Linked DNA regions of Oryctolagus cuniculus. The protein of the gene in region 2 interacts with the protein of the main gene of each other region in a biochemical or structural test. Links are inferred from orthologs where the notes say so. Each region holds a gene or a part of one and is shown on either strand. Other genes may lie near its edges.

Region 1 (4,276 bases), on a different chromosome or scaffold from region 2:
CCCAATTCTCTCCCCATTTCCTGTTTGTGAACAAACTCTGCAGCCCAGCCCAGTCTGATCAAAGGCAACAGGAGGAACAGCAGTCATAGCCGCTGATGCCTTAAACCCACAGCCAGAGACCTCCAGCCCAGGAGAGGGATGCTCAGCTGTCCCTACTAATGGCTGGCAGCTGCTCCACCTGTTTGGGTCTTAACAGCTGGATGGGAACAGCTGTGCTGCGGATGGCATTACTCCTGCCCCCCCCCCCCCGCCACGACGGGGAGGTATCTGTCCACAGCAGAGCCCACCAGCTCTGTCCACTCCCTCTCTCTCACAAAGGACCTGGTCCAGGGCTTGGCCAGGGGTCAAGTGTCTGAAGCCAGAGGTTGCTGATGGGCCTAAGGCCCAATCAGTCTGCAAGCAACTGTATTGTGTTTGACACAGAGTGAATTAAAGCACTGAGTTAGTTGGAACATATTTTTAAATTGTGATTATTTCCTAGTTTAAAACAATGTGTAGAAGCAACAAAGGATAACAGGACACACATTGGACTTATGTTCCCATAGGACAAGGCCCAGCTGGGGTCCAGTACCCACTGCTCCCAGGGGCCACTGTCCCCACCACCCCTGGCCCCCGTCCACTTTCAGCCAGCTTTCTGAAAGCAGACACTTCTGAGACAGGAAGCCGAAGCCCAAGGCCAAGGCAGGTCACCGAGCCCTCTTTGTGGGGCCTGAGGACTCCTTCCACTCTCCCAGAGCTCTCCAGCGAGCTTTTGCTAGAACGGGGATTCCCAAAGGCAGGTGGCGACTCCTTTGTGTAGGGGTCCCCGGCATCTACTCACGTCTGCTCTGCCACCTGGGGGTCCACAGGGCTGGGCGAATCCATGCAGAGACCTGTGGGGACAGAGGGCCTGGGTTTGAAAGGGGTGACGTTCCCTACCTGTTTCCCCCCAGCATGTCCCAGGAAGGGGAGGAAGCCCTATTTCTGCTTTCCATCTGGACACACTTTAAAAAATGAGACAAGAACCTAGCCATGAGCTGACATGCTGTCCCCACACAACACAGGGCTCCACTCCCTGTTACTATGGGAACTCCTGTCCTATACATTTTAAAACCACAGTGCTTGCTAAGCATTTTTTTCATGAACTGGTTTAAAATAATTTGTTTTAGAAGAGATCACGGCTTCTTAAAGTTACAGACTCAGAGAATGCTGTAGACAGATCAGCTCGCAGGCTCCCGCGGCTCCCAGGTGGGGCTGTATGTGTGGTTTAAGGACTCTGGTGCCTGGTTTCGGATAGGTGAGATCTCCCCTCCCACAGAGGGCCCCACCCGGCCACCAGCCCGGGCTGGGTGGGTGGGTCCCGCCAGAGGTGTGTCTTCCTCCCAGTTTTGCAGGCCAAGCAGGGAGGCTCCCGGGCACACCAGGTTGTGGGAAGAATGTTAATCTGACCTTGCAGGGCATCCAGCAGCCCAGGCAGCCCCCCAAACTCAGACCTCCCCAACCACGTGTGGGGCCTCACCTGCATCAGAACACTCAGAGGAATCAGATGACAAGGAAGACTCGGATGCCCGCCGTGACAGGGACAGACGCGCCAGCCGGCTTCGGAAGAGCAGGCTCCCGGCCTGAGCCTCTGGGGTCTCACTGGGAGGGGAAGGGGGTACCAGAAAAGGAGAGAGGTAAATGCAGGCCTCCAGGCCCTCCCTGTTCTCAGTCACCCAGCTCTGAAGGGCCCACCTGCTCCTCAGGACAAGGAGGCTTAGCCCACCAAGTGCCTTCTCTTGGATGGCAGGCTTAGGAGAGGCCCTCCCAGGTGCAGGGCAAGTGATCACAGGGCGAGGGCAAAGAGGCTGGGGGCTGGCGTGGCGGTCAGTGGGGCAGCCGAGAGAGCAGCCCTGGGAGCCCTCTGCTCCTCAGACCCCTACCCATCCCAGGGCCTCCTTGGAGAGAGAGACCTGGGTCTCTATGGCTGCTGGGGGAAGTCAGCCCAGCCCCTGAGGCTTGCTTAGGGAACAGGATTAGGATTAATGACCTGAACCCTGGGGGCAGAAGCAGGGTGGAGGGAGCAGAGGCATGGGCCTGTGAGAACCCCACTGCTCTGCCACCCTCAACTTCCCCCTCCCGGCTCATATCTCCCCGCCTGGGGAAAATGGAGGAGATGCGGACAGAGATTGGGGTGGGGGGGGGCACCGTGGCCGAGTCACAGTAAGGGAGGGGGAGGGGAAGGAGGGTCCCTGGAGGCTTGCGCAGACCAAAGGGTCACCTGGAGGGTCTGATGCCCCTTGCCCAGGGCCCCTGAAGCAGGGGTAGGGACTCCCTCTGCGCTGACCCGGCCGCATCCCCACCCCACCTGTAGTGCTCAACTCCCACGCGCGGTTCCTCTGGAGCCGAAGGACCCCGTCCTGGTCTCTCACCCCACGCCCAGCCTCTGGGAGGCGTCCTACCTGCCGAGCCCCGCCAGATTATGCATGGTCTGTGTGAGGGTGGTGACCGGCGAGGAAGCGGCCGTGCGCTCCGGAGACCCCAGGAGATCATGAGACCCCAGCCGGAGGCCCGGGAGGTGGCCCGGACGCTGGACGCCACCGCGCACGCCGGCCGGACTAAGGGCCGAGCATGGTGCAGGCTCCGGCCGGGGCACCTCCATCGCGGCGGGGCGGGTGGAGGGCCTGGGGCCGGGAGCGGGCCCGGGGTTGGGGGAAGGGAGGGAGGGAGGAAGAGCAGTGGGACTGGGAGTGAGGGAGGAGAGGGATGCGGGGAGGGTGGGGAGGGGTGAGGGGCGCGGGACTCAAGCACCAGTCCGGGAAGCCTCTGACTGCAGCTGCCACCTCCACCTCCTTATATATTCGAAAAATAACAGCGGCCGCGCCGCCGGACGCCACCAATGGGGGCGCGGGTTAGAGGAGGGCGGGCCCGGGGGCGGGGCCCGCGAAGCAAGAGGCGCGGGGGCTGGACCAGCCCGGCCCGCCCAGCTCCAGCCTCGGGGGAGGCGGAGGAACTGGGGTCCATCCCACGGCTTGCACACCCGCCACCCCCAACCCGGGCGCGAGGTGGAGACCCCCCGAATCCCGCGCTCTGGGACCTAATGTGGAACCTTCCACCGACAGAGCGGGCCACAGGCCCCAGGGGGGTCCGGAAAAGAGGCACCCGGGGTTAACATCGCGCGCGAGCCCCAGGAGGATCCGGCACGTTTGCCAAGCACGGCGGCCCTGGGCGGGCTGCGTTCACCGTCCCATTTCACAGACGCGGATGTGGAGGCGTGAAGTTCATGGGCTTGTTCAAGGTCATGCATTTGGGAAAGTGGTGGGACCAGCCCTCGCTCGCTGCCCGACGCCCCTGACCCCGCCGGCTCCTTGCCCCAGCGTCTGGCAGCGCGGAGCAGCTCCAAAGGGTAATTCGTGGACCGAACGCCCAGTGCAGGCGGTGGGACGCCGGTGGGAGCCCGAGGCCGCCAGGGGCCCCGCTTTCTCTAGCAGTCCAGGGGAGGCTCTGACGGCTGGACTGGACCCGGGGCGTCAAGGAAGGGGCCAGCGACCAGAGAACTCGGTAATGGAAGTAGAACCTACAATGGTGGCTTGGCTCACTTGGTATCAATGGCATAGTATTGTTCAACTGGCGTTTCTTTGTAGAATCTGTCATTAGTTTAAATTGGGCATCTTCTAATTACCTAATCACCTCCCAGCTGAGCCCTTGTCTTCCTGGAATGAGGCCAAAGGGCTGCACCCCTTCTGGGGGGTACGCAGCGCACCCCGTCTCCCTGGGGAAGCGGCGACCTCCCGAGGGTGACAGGCTCAGGAGGGGAGCGCAGCTTGGAGGGAGGGGTCGCGAGCACCCGCGTCCCTTCCCTCGCTGCCCGAACCTCGCCCCTGGGTGAGGTTGGCGAAAGGGAGTGGCGGGGTGGGGGGTGGGGTGGCGCTGCAGGGTTGGGGAAGGAGAGGGGAGGCTCCAGTCCCACCCGAGAGGAGCAACTTTGAACATTCTGCCCAGCCCCGGTGCTGTTTCCTTTCATTCTCGGCAGTCAAGGGTCTGGCTCTGACCCTCCAGCCACCGCCCAGCCACCGGCTGGGAGGGATGGGGGGGGGAGGGGGGCTGTGCCTCAGGAGGCGACCCACCCTACCTATCAGAAATAAAGCTGCCCCAAGGGTTGCATTTTCAAGATCAGCACAGAAGAAAAACACTGCTCCCTCCCAACACACAGGATGTGGGGAGGTGCTGAGGGAGTCACCCTTGGGAACCCTTGAAGATGGTTTCTGGGCCTGGAGGCCGGACTACAGCCGGGCCCAATACTTCCCAGAACAAAGCT
Region 2 (5,240 bases):
GGCTCCTGGCTTCGGATCGGCTCAGCTCAGGCTATTGTGGCCATTTGGGGAGTGAACCAGCGGATAAAACACCTCTCTCTCTGTCTCTCCTTCTCTCTGTCTGTAACTATGACTGTCAAATAAATAAATTAAAAAAAAAATAATTAGGAAGCATTACCAACATGAACTTGATTATATTTGTTTTGAAAGGGTTTGTTTTCTATTTAAGGCCGTGGATCTACCCCAGCTTTTTTGAAGACAATGACATAGCAGAAATTAAGCAACCCCTTTATGACTTGACTGTGCACTTTCCCTCCTCTGAAACGGCATCATTGTTGATCTAATCACAACTCCCACAGTAAGTGGCTCTTGCTGTGGGCATCTAAGGAGGGACTACACAGAGCAGAAGCGGTCAGCTCAGCTGGAAAGACAGCTGATGGCACCCGAGGGACTGAAAGCAGGAGCTCAGAGTGCCCACGAGACAGAGGGCCGAGGTCGGCCTCAAGCCAGGAATGTCCTAGTAAGACGTCCTCTGCCTCGCTGGCACTTACACGCTCAGTTCTGTGCCAGTATTTTCACTTCCAACTCTGCTTACCTTTGTGGCAACAAAAACTCTCTATCAGTAACAGTAAATTTGTACACAAATGTTAGAGCAAGTACAGTGGTTTCCTCTTTATGGCTTCAGTCGCACTGGTATCTACTTGTGCAGCTATGTTACTGGATGGGGGCAGAACTGAGAACCAAGAACACCACAAATTCACTGGGGAAAACAATCAGAATTTCAGCAACACTTCCACCTAGAACTTGACAAATCTACTAACAGGCACATACACAAAACTTAGGATCTGTACTATGCTCAGCTCCTAATAACCCAGGAGACTTAAGTTTACTATAAATAAACTTTGATGTTCCCATAATCAAATCAGGTGATTCAATTATTCCCCCATTACATTTTCTGTAACAGTCTAAGGGTTAAAAAAAGGTATTTAATATTCAAATCTAGGGGCTGGTGCTGTGGTGTAGTGGGTAAAGCTGCTGCCAGCAGTGCTGGCATCACACATGGACGCCGGTTCAAGTCCTGGCTGCTCCACTTCCTAACCAGCTCTCTGCTGTGGCCTGGGAAAGAAGTAGAAGATGGCCCAAGTCCTTGGGCCCCTGCACCCACGTGGGAGACCTGGAAGAAGCTCCTGGATCCTGGCTTTGGATCAGCACAGATCCGGTCAGTGCAGCCAATTGGGAGAGTGAACCAGTAGATGGAAGACCTCTCTCCCTGCCTCTCTTTCTCTCTCTGTGTAACTTTCAAGTAAAATAAATAAATCTTTAAAAAAATTCAAATCTTTTTATATGACTATTACTTATCAAAGAGGTCCTGTAAAGTAAGCCCTAGTCATGTGGGTCACTCAAGCTTACTGTGACCATGGAACAAATTATTCACCGTCCAGGCATGGTTTTTCCTAAAATGTATTTTACATGAAATCTGAGATCCCTTCCATAATTCCCTGTTTTCAGTATTAAAGTACTATAGGAAGTACTGCAACACCGGGGCTGGCGCCATGGTGCAGTACGTTAATTCTCCGCCTGCAGCGCTGCCATCCCATTTGGGTGCAAAGAGACAGAGGGAGATCTTCTACCCTCTGATACACTTCCCAAAGTCTGCAACAGCCAACGCTGGGCTAGGCTGAAGACAGAAGCTTTGAATTCAATGTAGATCTCCCATATTAGGTAGCAGGGACCAAAGTACTTAGGCTATCAACACTGCCTCCCAGGATATGCAACAGCAGGAAGCTAGAATTGGAAGTGGAGTCAAAACTTGAACCCAGGGCCTGGTGTTGTGGTGTAGCGGGTAAAGACACTGACTACAACACCAGCTCCCATGTGGGCACCAGTTTGCGTCCCAGCTGCTCCACTTCCAATCCAGCTCCCTGCTACTGGCCCGGGGAAAGCAGTGGAAGATGACCCAAGTACTTGGGCTCCTGTCACTCATGAGGGAGACCCAGATGAATCTCTTGGCTCCTTGCTTTGCCCTGGTCCAGGCCGTTGTAGCCATTTGGGGAGTGACCAGCGGACAGAAACCCTCTCTCTGTAACTGACTTTCAAGTAAATAAAAAAAATCTTAGAGAGAGGGAGAGAGGAAGAAGAAAAAGAAATCTAGAACCCTGGAACTCAGGCACTCCAGAACGGAATATGAGTGTCCCAAGCAGTATCCTAACCACTGTACCAAACATTTGTGCCTATTTTCATTTTTTAAAAAGATTTATTTGAAAGACAGAGTTACAGAGAGTGGGAGTGGGAGTGGGAGTGGGAGTGGGAGAGGGAGAGGGAGAGGGAGAGGGAGAGGGAGAGAGAGGTCTCCATCGCTGGTTCACTCCCCAGATGACCACAGCTGCTGCTGCTCGGCAAGGCTGGAGCCAGGAGCCAGGAGCCAGAAACCAGGAGCGTCTTCCAGGTCTCCCACGTGGCTGCAGAGGCCCAAGGACCTGGCCCATCTTCCACTGCTTTCCCAAGTGCACAGAGTACAAGTGAGTCAGCAGCTATGTGTTGCAGGTGGCAGCGTAAGCCCTTACGTCACAACGCTGGATCCCCTACTTTTATTTTTAGAAAATAAGATAAATATTCATTTTATTGATCCATATCATTCAGAGTTTTGTTTGTTTTCAAAGTTACAAGGAGTCTGGAGACTACAGAGCACTGGAACAGTGTCCCATTTACACCAACTGCCTTTTATTTATTTTGGCTTTAGCTGAAACCAAATATACCTACGTTTTCGATCATCTCCACATGCAACTTCAGCCAGGTACCGGAAGTAATCGCCCTTCATTTTCAGATAGAAGACTTTACTCTCTGGATTAGTTGCATTGGCTATCAAATACTTATCCAACAATTCCTGGAAAAAAAAAAGATAAAAAAATTAGGCGCTAATAAAAGCTATTTAATTACAGACAAGAATTTAGAATAATCTAACTTCTGCCTTCATGTAATAGAATCCTTAACCACAATAATCCTTCACCACGTCCGCCTGGCCTTGAAGCATGTCCTTACAGCAGTGTCAGCCTGTTGCCACCGTCTCCCTGGCACATTTTAAAGAAAGCTACATCACACAAAACAGTATCCTCACAAAGGGTCTCTCCATTCACTCACCTGGTCATTCAACAAACACTTACTGACATCTGCTGGGTGTCAGGTATTTGCTGACAGCAGACACAGAGAAGCCCTAAGAGCAGAGGCCTGCCCTCAAGAAGCTCAGCCTCTGTCCATACACCACTAACTGCATGCTAAGCACAGAGAAATACAGGAACAGGACAGGAGTGAGTAGCTAGCGCTGCTGGAGACGGCCTCTGGTTCAGGCTTCCAGGGGAACAGAGATCTGACTGTCAAGAATCGACAGCAGGAGCACTCGGGGCAGAGATCAGCCTGCGCAGAATCCAGCGTGAGAACAGAGAACTAAAGAGCTCACCAGCGCACTCTGCACCCGGATGTCCATGGAATCAAGGCGATCAGAGGGCAGAGCGTCAGCAGCTGACAGCACAGCAAGACAGAATAATTCTGTCTACTCAATCTAATCAATAAATTACGGTATTTCTGTATGTCTTTTATCAGTGACACCATACAATAAGCTGTGCACTTGAGGGGCCAGCATCGTGGCATAGTGGGTTAAAGCAGCCACTTGCGGTGCACGGAATCCCATATGGGTGCTAGCTTGTGTCCCGTCTGCTCCACTTCCAATCTAGCTCCCAGCAAATGGCTTGGGAAAAGCAGAAGATGGTCCAAGCGTTTGGGCTCCTGCCACCTACACAGGAGATCCAGACAAAGCTCATGGCTTCAGCCTGGCTCAGCCCTGGCTACTACAGCCATCTGGGGAGTGAATCAATAGATGGAAGACCTCTAACTCTGATTTTCACAAAAATAAATCAATCTTTAAAAAAAAAATAAAAATAAAAAAGGACATCTGATTCAATGAGATAGCACTTCTTAGTAAGTATTTATACTTGTAGAGGCATAGGAATATCTGAGTATAAAAAGTAACAAAAGGGGCCAGTGTTGTGGCGTAGCAGGTAAAGCCACCGCCTGTATTGCTGGCATCCAATACAGGTGCCGGTTCAAGTTCCAGCTGCTCCACTTCTGATCCTACTCTCTGCTATAGCCTGGGAAAGCAATAGAAGATGGCCCAAGTCCTTGGGCCCCTGCACCTGTGTGGGAGACCTGGAAGAAACTCCTGGCTCCTGCCTTTGGATCTGCCCAGCTCTGGCTGTTGCAGCCATGGGGGAGTGAACCAGCAGATGGAAGACTTTCTTTCTCTCTCTGCCTCTGGGTAACTCTGCCTTTCAAATAAATAAATAAGTCTGGAAAAAAAAAAAGTCACAAAAGACAAAAATGAAAAGGAAGGTTGTTTATAGATATAAAATAACAAAAGTTCAAAAATGTAGTTTTAAAATCTTCTTGTCAAAGACTTATTTATTTATTTATTTGAAAGTTACAGAAAGAGAAAGAGAGAGAGTGAGTCTTCCATCTGCTGGTTCACTCCTAAGATGGCTACTAAAGTCAGAACTGGGCCATCAGGAGCCAGGAAGGAGCTTCTTCCAGGTCTCCCAATTAGGTAGTAGGAAACTAAGTACTTGGGCCACCTCCACTGCTTTCCCCAGGACATTTGCAGGGAGCTGGACTGGAAGTGAGGAGCCAGGACTCAAAACAGGTGCCTATGTCCCCGAAAACGTAGTTTTAATCCAAGAACAATCTGTTTTTTTATCTGATTGAAACAAAAGGCAATTGTTGTATTTATAACTTATTTAAAGAAAATAAACATGGGTTGGTGCTGTGGCGCATCAAATTAATGCCCTGGCCTGAAGCACCGGCATCCCATATCGGGGCTGGTTCAAGTCCCGGCTGCTCCTCTTCCTATCCACCTCTCCGCTATGGCCTGGGACAGCAGTGGAAGATAGCCCAATTATTTGGGCCCCTGCACCCACGTGGGAGACCCGGAAGAAGCTCCTGGCTTCGGACTGACGCAGCTCCGGCTATTGCAGCCAATTGGGGAGTGAACCAGTGGATGGAAGACCTCTCTCTGTCTCTATGTCTCTCTGTAACTCTGTCTTTCAAATAAATAAAATAAATGAAAGAAAAGAAAAGAAAAGAAAAGAAAAGAAAAGAAAAGAAAAGAAAAGAAAAGAAAAGAAAAGAAAAGAAAAGAAAAGAAAAGGTGCAGGGCCCAAGTACTTGGGCCATCCTCCACTGCACTCCCGGGCCACAGCAGAGAGCTGGCCTGG
Region 3 (5,940 bases), on a different chromosome or scaffold from region 2:
AATTTTTCAAGTACAGTCATATGTTTACTACTTTTTAAAATCGACCTAATTAAAGAAAACTACAACTTAAGTTCTAAATAATAAGAATTTAAAGATGAGTGTCGCAGGAACAGTGTCTCTCTTATTCAGCCTGTGTACTTCAGTCGTTCATCCCATGAAAATGTCCCAGAAATGTTGCTGAAATCAACTGAACTGTTAATACTTCCAAAGATTTAAGCTATGATGACCAACGACAGAATTTAGGGAGTTCATGAACAAACTGGATGCAAAACTTCTTCACACAATTTAAAACAACAAAAGAGAAGGGCTCAGAAAACCAAGGGACCCTGCCTTTGTGAACCACACGTGAGTCTGGTCTACATAATACATTGTAAATAAGTTCAAACTGTCAGCTCTCTCCTGATAAACCATCACCCCCCCCTTCTCCCATCCTTTATCTTTCTTTCTCTCCTCTGCCATTTGTCCTCATGGTTGATGTCTTCATAAGGTACTTCAAGAAGAGTGGAAACAGAGGACAAAAGGGCCTCCCCTACCTCTGAACTCCTCCTTCCCGCCACAGTGACACACTCTACCATTCCTACCGTCATAAAGCAGATTTCTATTAGCCTGTGATGGACTCATACGGCTCCCACCTTGTTTCTGGCTGGGGTAATAAGGTATCCTGCAATAGATGACAGAAGACAGAAAAAAAAATCCTCTGTCTAGATCCAACACCAAGAACATATTTATTTAGTGTTCCAAATATAAGTAATTCTCAGATTCACATATGTAAATCTCTGCAATAATCTTCAACAAAAAAATCAAAGTGAACTCCTTCTCTTGGCTATTGCAAGCAAACTTCTCAAACTTTTCTTTTGAGACAGAACTACCGGAATAAATGCAAAAGGAAAGGGCTGCCCTTCGCAAATCAATTACCAAGGACTGCTGATGTTCCCTTTCCAGTATTTCTCCAAGTCTCTCCCCTAGAGTCTTGGCCCGGGTTCTAAGCAGCTCACAGCAACAAACTCCAGTTTTCTTTCTGTTGCAATATGGCTGGCATTCCATAGCACCCTCCACACAGCAAATCCATGGCTCAGATGTTCTTGGGATGATTTCTCTATGCGAGGATTACTGAGTTCATTTTAATGTCAAGGCCTTCTCTAAATACCCTAGACCCCACCCCGAGTCTACTGCAATCCAGGGGTGCCTGCAGCCCCTCTCCCTTTGACTCACCTCACTCTTTCCATATGACATCCCTCTTGGGAGCGACCCAGATGCAACTCCCAACCTCTTAAACCTTGATTGTTTCACCTCATCCTAAATTCCATTAAGGTGTGCGTGTGTTTTAAAGCTGGCAAACAAAGTCTGTCCACATTATTAGACTGCATTTAAATATTCTGTCACCACATCCTTGCGTTAGATAGCCCTTGTCTATATTCCTGCTGAACAATGGTTTTCCCACTGTGATGTAAATTCTAAATGTTATTGCAAAAACTGAAGGAAAAGGAGAAAAGTGTTACTATATTCTTGGAATTGTATCTGAATTACATGAAATCTGTTCTCTATATATATAAATAAAAAGGGGAAAGAAGACTTCCACACACTAATAAATAAATAAATAATAAATAGATAAGAAATCACAGTTCCACAGAGCTGCATGTTTTTTGGAGAAATGTTATTATCTCCAGTGTGTCTGTGCTTGGGCAGCACTGCATTTCAGTGAACTCTTACACACTCTAACATGGAGATGCTGTGGCCACACTCTGATCAGGTAAGGCTATTGATGCCTAGGGGAGTGCTCCCGCTCTCCCATAACCCACACTCCCTGACACTGGGGCTGGACACAAACATTGCATGGAAGCTGCAAGCAATTGAGAATCACACATGCACTATAAAGTGCCACTCCTTTCACTGAATGAAACTTGCAGGCACTCATGGTTACCTTTGTCTGGCCTTCAGAACTTTCACAACTTCCCAGATTAGTGATCTCCCCCCCCCCCCCCTTAGGCTTTCCTAATGTACCTGAGCTCAGTGTGTCACAATTCAAAACCCTCCAAGTTTGGCAAACTCCATTTCAAATAATTTTCAAGAAGGCAATTCCTGATTATTCAGGAGAGCACTGCAAGGCAGTCCTAGCCAAGTCCTCCAGGACTGAAATCCAGCACTTTTAGTGCCCTCTGTCTCCGCCCCCAAGCCCTGGCTGACTGTCCTGAGAAGACTGGCGCCAAGGCTCCCACTAGCTTATACCCCCACCGCCCCTTGCCAACCTGAAAATCAGACTAGCAGTGTAAACAGAGGTGGGCGCGGAGTCTCCCCCAGGGTGGCCTGGTCCAGGACCAGGGCCCTTTTCTAGCCTGCCCTTGATGGCCGCCGTGGAGAGGCCCACAGTCTCGGACTTGAGGGCACTCAGCCTTGAGGGAGTCCCTGGACATCACCCCAACACTTCAGTGTCCCACTCTCTATGTGCCAGAAAAATAAGCCGCAGCTCCGCGGCTTCGTCGTTGGAAATTCTGTCCCCACGCTCTTACAGAGGTGGGACCAAATGACCAAAAGGACTTGGGTAGTTGGGGTCCGCTCAGTTGTTTTCACAGCTGGCCAAGCCAATCCCCCTCTCTTAAAAGCCCAGTTGACAGGTGAGAAATTCCTCGCGCCCAGGTCATTCCAGGAACCCCTCAGCGGCAACCTGGGCGTGGGGGGACGGATCTAGAGGGGAAGGGAGTGGTGCTGAAGCCGTGCGGAGCTCGTCCCGGCGGGACTTCGGGCCGGGAACGCGCCGGTCCAGGCTCCGAAGGGAAGGCTGGGGGGCGGAGAAGGGAGTGGGTAGGGAGCCGGCAAGTCCCAAGGGTGCGCAGGAGCGCGACGAGAGCAGGGTAGGATGCGTGGACATGTCATGGGACGGATGGAAATGGGCAGAGAAAGGACTCAGACAGGCGAGAACCTGGGGATTCGGAGAGCATGGGGGCGCCAGGGCAGAGCAACAGGGAGCGCGATGCCTTGGGCGCGGGCGTCCAAGTCCGGCTGGTCGGTGCCAGAGGCTTCCTGAGCGCCGGCGAGCCCAGCTCCGGCCGAGCCCCCGCAGCCGGAAAGTTGGCGGCGAGGGTCGGGGAGGGCAGCGCCCCCTGCGCCGCGCGGCCGGGAGGCCGGGAGGGGAGCGGCACGGCGCCCTACCTTTTGGTCGACGATGGAGCAAGCCATCTCGCGGACGTGCGCCAGGCTGTAGTCCCCGGACGAGTCCTGCAGCAGCAGCACCGGCTCGCGGCTCAGGCCGATTTGTAGATGGAACGAGATGCCCCCGGCCGGGGCCGCGACCGGAGCCAGGAAGGGCGCGGGCCCCGGCCCCGACCCCGGCACCAACGCGGCGGCCGCTGCTGCCGCGGCCGCCGCCACGGGCAGCAGCGGGCTGGGCGGCCGCAGGAGCGGAGGAGCGCTCATCGCTCGGCGGGGCGGCGGGGCCGGGCGGCCGAGGGCGGGGGCCGAAAAGTTTTTGCGGCGGCCGAACGGAGAGCTTCTTTCTCGGAGAGCCGAGACGGAAAATAAAAACTTTCCGGAAAAGTCCCGGCGCGGGGGGAGGGCGAAGGGATGAGGCTCTGGAGGGGAGGGGAGGAGGAAAAATGGCCGAGGCGGGAGGACTGTGCCGCCGGGAGCGCGGCCACCGCGCGGGGGAGGTGCCGCCGCCGCCGCCGCCGCCTCCGAGGAGCAGCCGCCGCGGCGCGCTCGGGGCCCCGGGGCTGCGGGTCAGCGCGGTCGGGCGCCGGGCGGGGGCGGGCGAGGGGCGCGAGGGGCGGGGAAGAGAGCTGGGGGCGGGCACTCCGGAGCCACCACCAGGCGGGCGCTGGAGCCGCAGGAGCCGCGGCCGCAGTGGCCGCAGGGTGCCCGGTCGCCGCCCCCTCAGTCCGAGGTTCCGGGGGCCTGAGCCTTGGCGAGCCGGGACAGGACCGAGTGGCGGGGCTCAGGGCCACCACGGAGGGCGCGGCCCGTGCCTCCCCTCCGGGTCCCCCGTCTCTGCAGCCCCCGCTCTCCGGGCCGCCGACTTGAGGGGCCCGGGAGTCGGGACGCACCTCCCCCTCCCGGTCTCCGGGGCTGAGAGCTCCCCCGGTCCCCACAGTCCCCACAGCTGGTGCGGGGGCACCGGGACTGCGCCCTTCTGAGTGGGGCGACCTTTGAGGTATTCAAGACTGCCAAACCCTCGGGTTCCCCGTGGGGTTTCCTTCCGAGCCTCGAGGAGGGGATGGAAATAGCGGTTCGTGAGGGAGCCACTCAGATCCCGGCGCCTCGGGGAGCCCTCGGGTGACTACCGTAGAGAGTATAAATCCACAGAAGTGTATTTCGGTGTGCCTACCTTTTTGTCTCTCTCTGTGTCACACCTTTACGTCCACCCCAGTCCTGAGAACCCAGACGTGGGCGAGCAGCTGAATTCACTGGATGGGCCTTTTGGAAGAAAAGGCACCGTCTGCGAAAGGCCAGGGGGTGGGTCTGATGCGGCCTCTTTCCCTCTACTCTCTTTGGCTGGAGCTTCCGCTTTGGAGCCCCAGAAACGATTTTCCTTCTTCTTCTGTCAGTCTCAAGTGTACTTTTCAGGAGTGGTGCTCCCAGGTTCTCCCCTGCACCACCGCCATCACTAGAACCGCCTTCAACATGGAGTACAACCTGCTCGCAGAGTTGTTTCTTGCTTTTGTCGGGTTGGGGGCTGAGAGTCGTGCTTCCCAGTAGTGGGAGATGAGTTTCATTCCCGCCCGCCCCCCCCCCCCCACCGAGGATGGGTTTCATGGGTGTATAACAATGCACTTGCGCAGGGTCCAGCTCTCATCGGGATCATTGGGGTCCTGCTCAGTCCCATGCTCTGCTATCATTGCTTGGGAATTCTTAATAATATTTGAAGAAGGGTCTTCACAGTTGCATTTAGCAGTTGCCCAAGCAGTTTATGTACTGTAGTGTGTCACTTCTCCACTTCCCTGGTACTTCTCTAACATACCTAAGCAGCCTATTTCGTATACTTTCTTTCCTGGGTCGTTACTTTTTTTTATTTTTTTCTATTATCTTGACCTGTGGTTCTTGCCCAAGATATTGCAAGGTGGTTTCTTTAGAGCTGTATCCCCAGTATAGATAATGCGGTCTTCTGCACCCCTGGCTACACTGTGTTGTTCGCTGCTCTAGAAGAGATTTGAATGTACTCTGGATTGATAGTTTGTTAGAATCTACATATATGCGTTGGTGTTTCTCCTGCTTACTTCTTTATGAGCTCGTCCTCTTTATTCTTCATGTTAGAGTATCATTTTCTTAGTGTGCCAGACTCAGTCACCTAAGCCAGGACAATGAATCAGTTCTTCCTGATGCAATAGCCGTCTCACTTCTCTAGGGATTTTCTTTTAATGTCAGAAAAGATATCTCATTTTCTTCCAAAGTTTGAAGAAAGGCAATATTCTGCAATTTCCTATTACTAGGAACAAAGTTCCTGTTCAGAAGGAATTTATAAAAAGCTAGCTTCAGTTCAGATTCAGGAGAGCTAGAGCTAGTCATGATTTGTAAATATAACAACTAGGTGCTGAGATTTTTCCCTGTTCCAGACCCCATAGGTAAAAGTTGTGCAGCTTTCAAGACAACTCAAACGTATCACATTGAAAAGAAAAAAATAATTAGATTATTTCTGATAGTCATAATTGCAATGAATAAAATTAATGCCATAGTAAAAAGAGTAGCTTGTGGGGAGGGAGTAGAGAAAGAGGCACTACTTCGGAGTCAGCATGAAAGAAGGTTTCACTGAGGAGTTTACACTTAAAAAATCACCAAAACCTGGATGCTGGGTGGAAAGGGACAAGTCTTAGGAAGCTCTGGGATAGTAATATTCTAGACATAAAGAACAGACAGTGCAAACAATCTAACTCAGGGATGTATTTGGCATTTTCAAGGCACAGAGAAAGAGGTCAGAGCTGAAGGAAGCCAGACCACTAAGGGTCTTGAATG
Region 4 (6,012 bases), on a different chromosome or scaffold from region 2:
ACAGAATCCGGCGCCCCGACCGGGACTAGAACCCGGTGTGCCGGCGCAGCAAGGCGGAGGATTAGCCCAGTGAGCTGCGGTGCCGGCCGCTATCCTATTTTTAGGAGCACCTCCAACACTGGGCTTCTAGGTAAAAAAGAAAATCCAAACCTTCCCTTAAAATACATTCTCTTAAGAATTTGACTAACACCAAAACAAGAGCTAAAATCTAAGGAGGGAAGTACACACTACTCGTGAAGTTTTTCCAGAATCCAGGGGTCTTTCTAGGAACAGCTAAAGCTAGGGTTCCAGTGCAGAATATAAAGAACTTCAGTAAAAAATTGAGGGACAGGCTATTGTAGCACAGTGGGTTAAGCTGCTCCTTGGGATGCCTGTATCCCAATTGCAGTGCCTGACTCTTCTGTGCTTCTAACCCAACTTCCTGCTCATGTACCTGGGGGGCAGCAGATGATACTTTGGCCTGGCCTAGCCTGGGCCACTGGGGGCATTTAGGGAGTGAACCTGTGCATGGAAGATCTCTCTCTCCACATTTCAAATAAATAAGTAAATCTTTTAAGAAGTTAAGAAAGGCTTTTTTTCTATGTATAAATTTAAAAGCAGTGAATACATACTTTTCTTTCCTGTCCAAGGGCCCAGGAGAATCCAGACAGAAACCTGTGGAAAATTAAAAAAAAAAAAAAAAAAAAAAAAAAAAAAGTGAGGAAATAATACACAAATTCCATTTTGTTAAAATACATAGATAACATTCTCATAATATATATACATGAATCCCCTTCTACTGGCAATTGCCATCAAAGGAAATAGAATTTATGGAGGGTGAATTAAACTTATTCACATCATGCATAGTTATTCAAAACATACTGTATTTTCCTGGAATAGTTTTGATTTCAAGTATTTTGTCTCATCAAATTATCCAAGTAATTCTGAGGATTATAAAGTACAATTATGGAACAGACATTTGGTGCAGCAGTTAAAACACCACCAGGGATGCCAGTATCCCATAGAGTGCCCAGGTTCAAATTCAAGCTCTTTTTCAATTCCAGTTTCCTGCTAATTAGCATCGTGGGAAGCAATGGTGATGCCTCAAGTAAATTAGATCTGCCATACACATGGAAGACCAGAATAGAGTCCGTGGTTCCTGGCTTCAGCCTGGCCCAGCCCTGTCCTTAGCAGGCATTTGGGAAGAAGTGAATGGAAGAGCTCTCTGATTTCAAATACATAAAAATAAATATTTTTTAAAAGAAAAATATATTAATCATCACACAAGGCAGACATTGGCTGCCTTTAACAAAATGACTCCAAGAAAGGTGTCCATCTCTCCAAAAGTAGTAGGGTGGAGGAGACACTGCTCAGTACTACTTCTGTGCTAGCTAAGACCCACCAGCACATGCCAAGCTCACACCGCTCCATGATGCTGCCAAAGCCTTACAGATTAGGCATTAGAACCGATACTCTCACCTGTCTACTTCCACAAATAAGAATCTCATCTCCAGTTCTTAAGTCTATACTACATTTTATGACGTTTGCCTTTGCAAGTCCTAAAACTAAACATCTGTACCCTAAATGCTCTTATCTGTGCATGCGGTAACCTGAATTTAGGAAATTGAAAAAAGCACCCTTGTTCATTTCCTCCATAGCAGGATCACTGACTTCATTATTCTTATAATAAGTTTATCCTAATTTCTTAATGTTTATTTTTTCATCTACTAGAAAGAAGGAGACAAAAAGAATAGATATCCCATTTGCTAGTTCAGGGACTCAATCCAAGCCTCCCACAGAGGTAGTAGGGGCCCAAGCATTTGAGCCATCACCTGCTGCGTCCTAGGAGGAAGCTGTCATCCTGTGTTTTTCTGGACTTCACTCACTGAGGAATGGTGAATGTTAAGTCATTTTTCCAGGGCAAGCACACACACCACCTCCTTATACACACTCGATGCTTGCTTTAGGAAATTCCCATGTTGCTCCCCACAGAACAGACTGGCAAAGACCCAAGGAATACCTGAATCCGTTGATTCGGAGGAGCCCATTCTCTGCAGACTGCTGTTCTTCACCTCCAGTGGCTGCTCATACTCGCTGAAGACAAGAAAAATAATTGCACATGAGCGATTTCTAGGACAGCACTAAAAGGCCACATACAGGAAACAGGCCATGAGGTTAACAAGCAGCCAGTCTGGCATGAATTACCATCACTTCTAGGCCACACCACAGAGCCCTTCTTGCCACTGGGAACACCCAGTTAGCACCAAGCAAGGGAGGGAAGAGCGGGTGGCTTGGCCCCTGGCCACATTGCAAGACACGATGACTATGGCAAATGGGGAGCTATTTCCTGAAATGAGAGCATGTGTTCTAGGTACTGTGCTAGAGATAACTGAAGAATGGGACAGGAGTTCCTGCTTTTCAGGGCTTGGGAACCGTGAACGAGACGGCTCAGAATATGGTATACCAAGACTGAGGGGAAAGCAGCCTCGTCAGAAACAGTGTGGGACGCGTTTGTTCCTCCAAGGAGAAGCCTAGCGAGCTATGGAAAGCTGGATGAGACAGGAATTAGGAAAGCAGAGGGATCAACATGAGGAAAGTGCGCGGGCGAGGGACTAGGACGATGTTTTTGCACAAATACCCGGAAAGGAAATGCCACGTCCCTTTGTTGAGAAGAGAAAGCTCGCAGGAAACTAAGATTCTGTGAGCTGGTTCGGGAAGGGCTGGACTGAAGCGCCTGCGAGGGCCAGCCCTTCCCCCGTACGGGTGTATTCCGCAGAGCTTCCCGGGAAGCACAAAGCCAGTGCCGGGAATTCTCAAAGGGGCGACGAGGGTGGGGGGTCCCCGGCCACAGCCCGGGCCCAGCCCCGGCTGAGGGCAGCCCTGCAGGGTCGGAACTGCCTCTCCGCCCAACATTCTGCCCGGCGGGGGCAGGGTGCACATGGCGGGCCCCGGTCCGACAGCCCCCGAGCGGCGGGCGCGGACCCGCACGACCCGCCCGGCTCCCGGTCCGTTTCACGACCCGATCTTCCCGGCAGTGGGAAGGCCTGTGGGAGGCCAGCGGCCTCGGGCACCGCGCGTCCGCACCTCCTCACCTGCCCAGTCCCTGCAGCTGATCCATGGTGACCGTCAGGTTGGTGACAGGCGACAGTCCCCCGGCGGCTGGCGCGCCAAACAGCGTCTTCACGACGGGCTGCGGCGTGGGAGGGGGGCTGCAGGCGAAGAGCAGGCGGCGGCGGTGCGGGGGCTCCGGGCCCAGTTCCATGGCGGCGCCCGGACTCCCAAGGCTCCCGCTCCCTCTCTGTCCGCCGCGCCTGCCCCGCTCGGCCGACACCGGCTTCGGCCGCGTGCCCCGCCGCCGGCGCCCACGGGTCAAACACAAACACGACCCCGCGGGTTCAGGGACGCAGCCGCGAACAAGCGGAGCGGACGGGCGGTCGTCCGGACCGGGCAGGTGCCAGACACAAGCACGGGTGCTTCCCTCTCACCCCGCGAGGCGAGCCGGCGTGCGGACCGCAGCAACCTGAAGATCAAATCCAAACAAACTCGGAGGCCCGAGGAGCAGCAGGCAAGTTCCGCAAGGTAAGGTCACGCTCTTAGCTTTTTTCTCTTCCCCTTACCCAGGCCGGGATCGCAGAGAACCAGGCCGACCTCCAGACTGTCGCAGCCGAGGTGGCTTTCGCGGTAATAGCTGCTTACAGAGGGCCGGCGCTGCCCCGCCCCCCTTTCCTAGTTGGCGCCAAACAGAATCCACCAATCAGGAAGCAACTTCTCCGCCTCGCGTCCGAATGGCAGCCAGGATGGGCCAATGAGAAAGGAAGAAGGCCGCAGCTCGCGGGACTCTGCGAGGTCTTCCGCTCTCAGAAGGGGGCGGGGCCTGCAGCTGATAGGAGGGGCTCAAGATGAGAGGCGCCTCAGAGGTCAATGAAAACGCCCAGCAGAACCTTCGAGGTGCTGGTCGCGGCCGAAAGACGCCCCCTTGCCCTGGTGCATGCTGGGAAGTGTAGTTCCTTTCCAATCGCGAGCAGCGGTCCAGTGATTTCGTACCCCCGTTTGGCCACCGACACTTCACCCTCTAGCCTCGCGCCCCACACCCCGAGGGGACTTGGGGGCTAGAGAAAGCTATTCAGACCCAGCCCGGTCTCTACCTCTAACTGTACAATACTGTGGACCCCATTTTTTCCCATGCCGGCACTGCAGGCGGCGGCTTTACCCACTACACCACTGCGCCGGCCGCAATCCATGCTTTCTTGGAGACTTGCCTGAAGTGCCCTTCTCACCCCTCACCCACTTCACCCAGCTCACCTTCCTTTTCTCAAGAAAAGTTTGATATCCTGACTGAATCAGAGGGAATCCCTGTTATCATCCACCCCATCCCCCATTACCGGGAGGGGGGGACCGCGGGGGGCAACGCATGTTCACATTTGTTTCTATTATTGTTTAATCAGGTCAAAGTCTTCAGATTACTATTAACTCAAAAGGGTAAGAACCTTGACTTTTTTTTTTTTTCCTATCACCTAATGCCTGGTTCCGGGAAAGGCCCTAATATCTGTAGATTGAGTGAATCCGTGCTGGGAAGAAAACGTGAGTGCTTAAAGGGTCTTTAAGAAGGGAATCTGATTGGTGTGGTAGGTCAGGAAATGACCAGCAGGATGAAGCCTTAGAAGGTGCAGCCTAGGCTCTTCCGGGAGAGACAGGCCTTAAGCAAGAGCCTGGGGAAGAAGGGGGTCCCTGGTGTGCAGCAGTAAGTGGGTGAGGGGCAGTTGGGAGGCAGTCAGGGCCCAGGGTTCAGACTCTGCAGGGCTGGAAAAACACATTTTGGAATTCGGACTTTTTCTAAGGGCAAACAAGTAAAAGGTTTACATTTATATGTTAAAAAGATAAACGCAGCAGAGTGGAGAATGCAGTGGAGAGCAGCAAGGGCAGAGCTGGGGAAACCAGTTTGCAGGGGATCACAGCAGTCCTGTTGGGAAAGGGTGGGACTTGAACTGGGAGGGGATGATGTGGAGGGAGAGAGGTGGGTGGGGCTTGGCTTCCATTTGTCAGCGGTGAGGGAGCTGGGCCACAATGGTGTCCTTCTGTTTGGTGCCCCAGCAGGCTCCCCAGTTCTTTCCTGGCAACCACAGAAGCTTCACTTTATTTTGTTTAAAGAGGCAGAGAGATCCCATATGCATTTGCGGGTTCACTCCCCAAGCGCCCACAGTGTCGAGGGCTGCGCCAGGCTGAAGCTGCCAGCTGGGATCTCAATCATTGTCTCCCATATGGGTGGCAGGAACTCAGTTACTCGAGCCGTCACACCGCTGCCCAGGGTCTGCATTGGCAGGAACTTGCTGTTCTGAGCCGGAGCCAGGTATTGACCCCAGACACCCCAAACAGGACATGCATATCTCTTTCTTGTAAGCTATATTTATGTATGTATTTGAAAGGCAGAGAGTCAGATAAAAGGGGAGAGGGAGAGAGAGCTTCCATCTGATAGTTGACTCCCTAGATGCCCACAACAGCTGAAACTAGTCCAGGCCCAAGCCAGGAGCCCAGCTACCCTGGGCATCCTCTGCTGGCCCCTGCCGCCGGAACCCTCAGGCTGTTTAGGTTTCTCTGCTGTTATTGTTCACATGGTCAGTGATCCCTCCCCAAGGTAATCCTTTCCCCTGCTGAAGCTCTGAAAACTTTCTCTCCTCCTATTTGGTATAGTTTAGTATTCTCAATTAACTGTGACTGAAACGCACCCAGGGCTTAAGATAGAAATGCCATCACTCCTACCCTCAGGGAGCTCCCACCTGCCAAGCTTAATCTCGGCACAGGAATCATCTCCATGATAATGGCTGCCTTCAGAGGCCGGTGGTGAGGACTTGGAGGTGGGGTCTGAAGGGGAAGCTGAGGGAGAGGCAAGGGAGACTTTCCAAAGAGCTGGGAGGTGTGGTTCTCTGGATCAGGGGGATTTAGGGGTGAAGGAAGATGGGGTGCTCTCTTGATGGCAGGAGGGGAGAAGGAACTGCATGATCTGGGGACTACTGGGAAGTTGTTCCAGCCCAGTCC
Region 5 (5,960 bases), on a different chromosome or scaffold from region 2:
GGCCAGCCTCGGCCCACATGCCTCACAGAAAGGTCCAGGCGGGCCGGCGCTGTGGCGCAGTGGGGTAAGCCACCATCCGCGGTGCCGGCATCCCAGCCGGGCTCGAGTCTGATCTGGCTCCCTGCTAGTGCACCGGGACCCTGGTGGGAAACGGCCCAAGTCCTAGGCCTCCGCCCACATGGGAGACCCAGATGGCGTTCCAGGCTCCTGACCGGCCATCTGGGGAGTGAACCAGCGGATGGAAGATCTCTCTTTCTTTCTCCCTCTCTCTCTCTCTGTAACTCTGCCTTTCAAATATACAAATAAATCTTTAAGGCCGGCGCCACGGCTCACTGGGCTAATCCTCCACCTTGCGGCGCTGGCACACCGGGTTCTAGTCCCGGTCGGGGCGCCGGATTCTGTCCCGGTTGCCCCTCTTCCAGGCCAGCTCTCTGCTGTGGCCAGGGAGTGCAGTGGAGGATGGCCCAAGTCCTTGGGCCCTGCACCCCATGGGAGACCAGGAGAAGCACCTGGCTCCTGCCATCGGATCAGCGCGGTGCGCCGGCTGCAGCGGCGGCAATTGGAGGGTGAACCAACGGCAAAGGAAGACCTTTCTCTGTCTCTCTCTCTCACTGTCCACTCTGCCTGTCAAAAATAAAATAAAATAAAAAAAATCTGAAAAAAACAAAAAACAAAAAACAAATAAATCTTTAAAAAAGTAAAAAGGAAAGTCTGGAAACAATTCCTAGGTTTTAGACAACTTTTATTGTATTATAATTTGCATTATAATTTTCCTTTTCGTGGTTAGTTAGTAATGCCATGTGCCTAGTTTACAATTAAACTTTGTGGCAGGCATGCTTGTATAGGAAGCGACATCGGAGTTCAGTGCCGCCCACGCCTCACGGCACCCACAAGCCAGCACCCTCTTACTGGGTGGGTGCTCCTGGACACAGTTCAGGGCTTTTTTTTTTTTTTAACCAAAACAAACTATATTATTTATTTTCAGTTTCTCTTTTAAAAATATTTATTTTTATTTGATTTGAAAGGCAAAGAGACACAGAGGGAGAGACCCTCCGTCAGCTGGTTCCCTCCCTAAATGCCTACAACAGCCAGGGCCGGGCCTGCAGAGCCCAGGAGCCCACAGTGAGCTTGGGTCTCCCGCGTACCTGCGCCGCCCCCGGCCGCCTCCCTGGAGCGCAGCCAGGACTCCGCAGGTCCTCTGACGGGGCGCAGTGTCCCCGGGGCCGAGCCGGGACTCCGCAGGTCCTCTGACGGGGTGCAGTGTCCCCGGGGCCGAGCCGGGACTCCGCAGGTCCTCTGACGGGCCGCAGTGTCCCCGGGGTCGGCTTCACCACGGCGCCACATCCACCCCTATTCCACTTAATTTGAGAAGGGGGACAGATCTTCCCCTGGCTGGCTCATTCCCCAAAAGCCTGCAACAGCTGGCGCTGGGCCAGGCTGAAGCCAGGAATTCAATCCAGGTCTCCCAGGTGGGTGGCAGGGGCCCCGTACTGAGCCATCCCGGGTGCACCCCGGCGGAAGCTGGATGAGGAACCAAGCAGCTGGGACTCCACCCAGGCACCCCGATCTAGGCTGCGGGTGTCCCAGAGTGACTTCACCACCGCACCGAGCGCCTGTTCCCGGTGTAGGTTTGTGGACCACGTAATCTTGGTGACAGTCACTCGCTTTTGTGGTCTGGGCTTCAGGGAAGCCATAAACAACATGTAAATGAAGGCACCGTGCCGTGTGCACAGACACCTTCGGGACTCCGAAATCTGAGTTTCATGTAATTTTCGTGTGTTACAAAATACCGTAGCTTGGATTTTTGTCGGCCACTGGAAAGTGGGGAAACCACCCTCAGCTCACGGGGCTGCACACAAACAGGAGTTAACCTATGGCCACGGTAGGCCCCGCCCCGCCCTACGACCAGCCCTGTCCGGCCGCCTACCCAAACCTTCGCTAGCCCTGCCGCTGGACTTGACTGAGACGCACTCCAGAGGCCTTGGCGTGGCCTTCCGGGCCCTCGTGTTCGCGCCTGCCCTCTGCGGGGCCCTGGGAGCACCCAGGCGTGTAACACGCCTGCCGGGTAACGCGACAAGCACAGAGGCTTGTGACCCGGCCCTGCCTCCACGCCCACAGCTGCTAGCACTTTCCCTACTAACTGGGAACCCCGAGGCGATCACAGCCGTGGGCTCGCGCGGAACCACCCTGCACCCCACAGCCTGGCCCAGTGGCTTCCCCGCTGGCCTGTCCCCTCCTAGGCTGAGTGTGCTGGGCGGTGGGCAGGGGCCCAGGCACCTGTGTGGACCTGGTATGGGCGACCAGTTGCTTTGGGCCGGCTGTCTGCTGTCTGCCCTCCTCCCGCAGCCCTCCAGCCAGGCTCCTTATCACCATCACCGCCTGCAGGCCATTCTCGGCCCCCCCCCGCCCCCCCATCTGGCTGCTTCTGGGGCCTTCACACCCTGCCGGCCTCCTCTGGGCCGGGAGACGCCCTTCTCCTCCCTTCTCGGCTGCTCTCTCCCTGCTTGGCCGGGGCCTCCAGTGCTGGGGCTCCACCTGGGCCCAACCCTGGTCCCTGTGCTCCCTCCCCGCCCTGCGTGCCCACCTCTGTCAAGGCAGCTTCACGCTCTCGGGCCCAGTGCCTGGGCGCCGCCGTCCTAGGGGCCTCCCTCTCCCTCGCAGCAAGGCCCCGTGGGCTCTCCCTCCAGGGTACATCATTTTGTGTTCCTGCCCCTTTGCGGGGGGGGGGGGGGGGCGGTGACGCTGCTGATGGGGAGCGACTGCCAGGTGGGGGTGGAGACCAGGTGGGGGCTGTGAGCACCAGCTGGACGCCGTGCGGAGAGGAACAGAGGGCGGCCGAGCTCGGGCGGGCGAGTGGTGAGTGACCGGCCTGGCTGCTGTTCCCGGATCTCCGTGGGCCGCTCCAGGAGCCTCCTGAGCCGTGCTCCTGGCCTCCCAGGGCTCTCGTCTAGCCCCCCACCCCGGCCTGCTGCCTGCCACGCCACTCACCTGGGCTAGGCGAGCCTCCCCTTGGGTGTGAGCAGAGGCCAGGGAAAACACACCCGGGAGCTAGAAGGCCCATCCCAGGCCAGCAGAGCAGCCCGGGGCAGAGCCTCCTGGAGTGTGACCTTAGGCGAGTCACTTCCCCTTTCTGGGTCACTGTCCACCTCTCACTGCACTGTCCCCGCCCCACCATAACAATGACTTTTTTCCTGGCCATGTACGGTATACCGGATTGATAACCCAGTGTTTCCTCCATACACCTGCTCGGCAGCCCAGCACTCCTGCCATGGTGGTAACCGACCGGTCAGTGTTACAGAAGGGGAGACTGGCTCAGAGGGGGCCGGGCCTTGCCCAAAGCCCTCAGTGAGTCGCGGTCAGCATGTGGGCAGCCACTGCTGGGCTGGGGCGGCAGGGGGGCGGTTAAGGGGCACTGGCGCTCCGCAGTGGGACGGAACCTACCTCCATGGTGGCTGCTGCGGCTCGGCTGCCGCTGCTGGTGACTGGCGTCCCCCCGGGGGCCTGAGGGCCGGTCCCCTGTGGGGCTGGGGCCCAGGCCCCTCTCGGCAGAGCTGGAGTCTTCCTGCTCACTGGGCTCAAACTCTGGGATCTGGAACATGCTCTGGGCTGTGGGACAAGACAGCAGGGCGTCAGGACACAGGAGGGGCAGACGGTCGCTGTCGGGGACGGCGGCAGGTGCGCCTGGCTCCCCCTTCCACCCCGGCACCCCGAGGCCCCCTGGGTCTCCCCAGGCCCTTCTCTCTCTAGGCCTGGCCCGGCAGGGGCACCCGAATCTCGGCATAGAGTTCTGGTGCTGTAGGGGCAGCCCGGGGCCCTTACCCAGGCCCCAGCCCGACCCAAGCCGCCGGGGGGCGACGCCGCACAGGCCTCACCCCGCGCCCGGCCGAGGCCCCCGACCCGGCTCCGCCGCCTCCCTCCAGGACCGAGGGCGCCCAGCCTTCGTTGCCTGGGCAACGGGAACTGTCAGCGGCCCGGCCCAATCAGCTCTCGAAGTGGAAGCCGGGTTGGCCCGGAGGCGGGGCCGCCTCCACCCGCGACCTGCCCGGGCCGCCGCCTTCCTCCTCGGTCCCCCCGGGCCGCCCGAGGCTCCGCTCCTGACTTACTCACGCCCTGGGCGTGTGTGGGAGCAGGTGAGGGAGCCCCTGGGGTCCCCGCGTGGGACCCGGAGGCCCGCTTCCGCCGACGAGCCCCTCGGGGCCCCCCACTGCGGAGTCGGGGCGACGGCGGCGAGGCGCCTCTCCCCGGGAGCCAAGTACAAGACACTCGTAAACAGTGGTGATTACTGTAGGTGAAAGGACTTGGCAAAGCCGCCAGCGAAGCTCCGCGGTCGGATGCAGTTGTCGTTGCTATTGTTACTGTTCCGCCCGCACTGGGCGACCCGGGCGGGAAGTCCCGCTCCCTCCTCCTCCTCCTCCTCCTCCCCTGCGTGGAGGCCTCGGGCGGCCCGCCGGAGGGCCTGCTCCTCGCGCCGTCTCGGGATCACTCGAGATAAGGCAGGGCACCTCCTCCCCGGCAGGATGAGGGCCCGGGCGCGGGAGAAGGGACAGGGGCCCCGGTGAGGGCGAACCGTAGGCCTCGAGGGGCTCCGCGTCTGGCAGGCGGCGCGCGGGCGGCCGGCCAGGTGAGCGGGGGCCGCGCGGGCCAGGGCGAGGGGCGCGCCAGCGGCCCTGCGGGGCAGCTTCGGGGTCCCGCGGGTGGGGGGCCGGGGGCGGGGCCCGGAGGCCATCTTGGCTACGGGCGGAAGTTTCCCTCGGAGGCTGAGTGAGGGGGCGCCGTTGCCGCCTCCGGCCGGGCGGCGCAACACTGATTTGGGGATGGGGGCGAGAGGTGTAGGGGCTCGCGGCCCTCCACAGACAAGCCAGGTCTGGTGGCGCAGGGCGCAACCCGGCCGGGCGCCCCCCAGGTACGGCGCGGCCCCCGCCTCTCCTCCGCCCGCCGCTTCTTGTAACCCGGGGCGCCCGCCGGCGGCGCACCTCGCGCCGATTCTCCACTGAGTCTACGCCGGGCGCGGCGCGGGGCCGCAGAGCTGGGGCCGGCCCCTGCGCAACTGGCGTAGCGCACGGCGCCCGCGCAGGCGCAGGAGGGGGCGGAGCGGCGGGAGCCGGGGTGCCCGAGCCCGGGGTCCCGGCGACCGGAGCCGGCTCCCCCGAGCCGCGCACGGCCTGAGGACTTGGCATCGGCCTCTTCCCGCCTCCCGCGGCTGGGGAGTGGACGCGGTGGGAGGGGGCGGCGTCCGGAACCCGGAGGACACAGGCGGAGGCCCCGGCCCCATCTGGATAATTTTAGGGGCGAAAGCCCCTCCCCCCCAGCTTGGGGAGAGGGAGAGCGAGGCTTCGGTCGCCCCCTGCAGCGGCCGCTGCCCGGAGCCGATGGGCCTCGGCCGGCTCTCCCCCTCCTACCGGGACGGCAAGAGAGACCCAGGCCAGGGACGCCCCTGCACCCTGCACCCCGCATCCCCGGCTCTGGGGCCTGCCGAGGGAGGGAACACCCCCGACCCGGCCTGCCCTGGAGGGGAGAGAGATGGAGTGAGAGGCCCGTCAAGGGCGAGAGTCTCTCCTTGAGGAGGAAGGGCCTGCCACACTCCACTCCCGAGCCCTGCACCCCCGAATACCCGCGGCTCTGTATTTATTCGCCCGGCCCCCTGTCTCCTGGATTCAGGCCCCCTCCGTGCCATGGAGAGTAACCTGTCGGGCCTGGTGCCGGCCGCGGGACTGGTGCCTGCGCTTCCGCCGGCGGTGACCCTGGGACTGACGGCCGCCTACACCACCCTGTACGCCCTGCTCTTCTTCTCGGTCTATGCCCAGCTCTGGCTGGTGCTGCTCTACGGGCACAAGCGGCTCAGCTACCAGACGGTGTTCCTGGCGCTCTGTCTGCTCTGGGCGGCCTTGCGAACCACGCTCTTCTCCTTCTACTTCCGAGACACGCCCCGCGCCAACCGGCTGGGGCCTCTGCCCTTCTGG

The links.
Region 1: the proteins of YWHAQ (region 2) and CDC25B form a complex in vitro, tested with the Homo sapiens proteins (2 studies listed by BioGRID). The link is inferred for Oryctolagus cuniculus from reciprocal best matches to the Homo sapiens genes YWHAQ and CDC25B.
Region 3: the proteins of YWHAQ (region 2) and PRKD1 form a complex in vitro, tested with the Homo sapiens proteins (2 studies listed by BioGRID). The link is inferred for Oryctolagus cuniculus from reciprocal best matches to the Homo sapiens genes YWHAQ and PRKD1.
Region 4: the proteins of YWHAQ (region 2) and CDC25A form a complex in vitro, tested with the Homo sapiens proteins (2 studies listed by BioGRID, with this or other methods). The link is inferred for Oryctolagus cuniculus from reciprocal best matches to the Homo sapiens genes YWHAQ and CDC25A.
Region 5: the proteins of YWHAQ (region 2) and BAD form a complex in vitro, tested with the Homo sapiens proteins (2 studies listed by BioGRID). The link is inferred for Oryctolagus cuniculus from reciprocal best matches to the Homo sapiens genes YWHAQ and BAD.

The regions. Positions count from the first base shown.
Region 1 is NC_091442.1:29,126,603-29,130,878, reverse strand, and holds the start of CDC25B (M-phase inducer phosphatase 2), read right to left. Parts: upstream 2,801-4,276; 5' UTR 2,621-2,800; coding exon 2,421-2,620; intron 1,621-2,420; coding exon 1,499-1,620; intron 873-1,498; coding exon 821-872; intron 1-820. UniProt on the Homo sapiens protein: Tyrosine protein phosphatase which functions as a dosage-dependent inducer of mitotic progression. Directly dephosphorylates CDK1 and stimulates its kinase activity.
Region 2 is NC_091433.1:192,533,198-192,538,437, reverse strand, and holds part of YWHAQ (14-3-3 protein theta), read right to left. Parts: intron 2,864-5,240; coding exon 2,740-2,863; intron 1-2,739. UniProt on the Homo sapiens protein: Adapter protein implicated in the regulation of a large spectrum of both general and specialized signaling pathways. Binds to a large number of partners, usually by recognition of a phosphoserine or phosphothreonine motif.
Region 3 is NC_091443.1:45,413,908-45,419,847, reverse strand, and holds the start of PRKD1 (serine/threonine-protein kinase D1), read right to left. Parts: upstream 3,553-5,940; 5' UTR 3,412-3,552; coding exon 3,148-3,411; intron 1-3,147.
Region 4 is NC_091441.1:100,773,137-100,779,148, reverse strand, and holds the start of CDC25A (M-phase inducer phosphatase 1), read right to left. Parts: upstream 3,646-6,012; 5' UTR 3,242-3,645; coding exon 3,072-3,241; intron 2,074-3,071; coding exon 2,000-2,073; intron 655-1,999; coding exon 612-654; intron 1-611. UniProt on the Homo sapiens protein: Tyrosine protein phosphatase which functions as a dosage-dependent inducer of mitotic progression. Directly dephosphorylates CDK1 and stimulates its kinase activity. Also dephosphorylates CDK2 in complex with cyclin-E, in vitro.
Region 5 is NC_091432.1:7,035,883-7,041,842, reverse strand, and holds the start of BAD (bcl2-associated agonist of cell death), read right to left. Parts: upstream 3,599-5,960; coding exon 3,442-3,598; intron 3,286-3,441; exon of another isoform or gene 3,138-3,285; intron 1-3,137. Other genes in the region: integral membrane protein GPR137, read left to right, coding at 5,673-5,960. UniProt on the Homo sapiens protein: Promotes cell death. Successfully competes for the binding to Bcl-X(L), Bcl-2 and Bcl-W, thereby affecting the level of heterodimerization of these proteins with BAX. Can reverse the death repressor activity of Bcl-X(L), but not that of Bcl-2.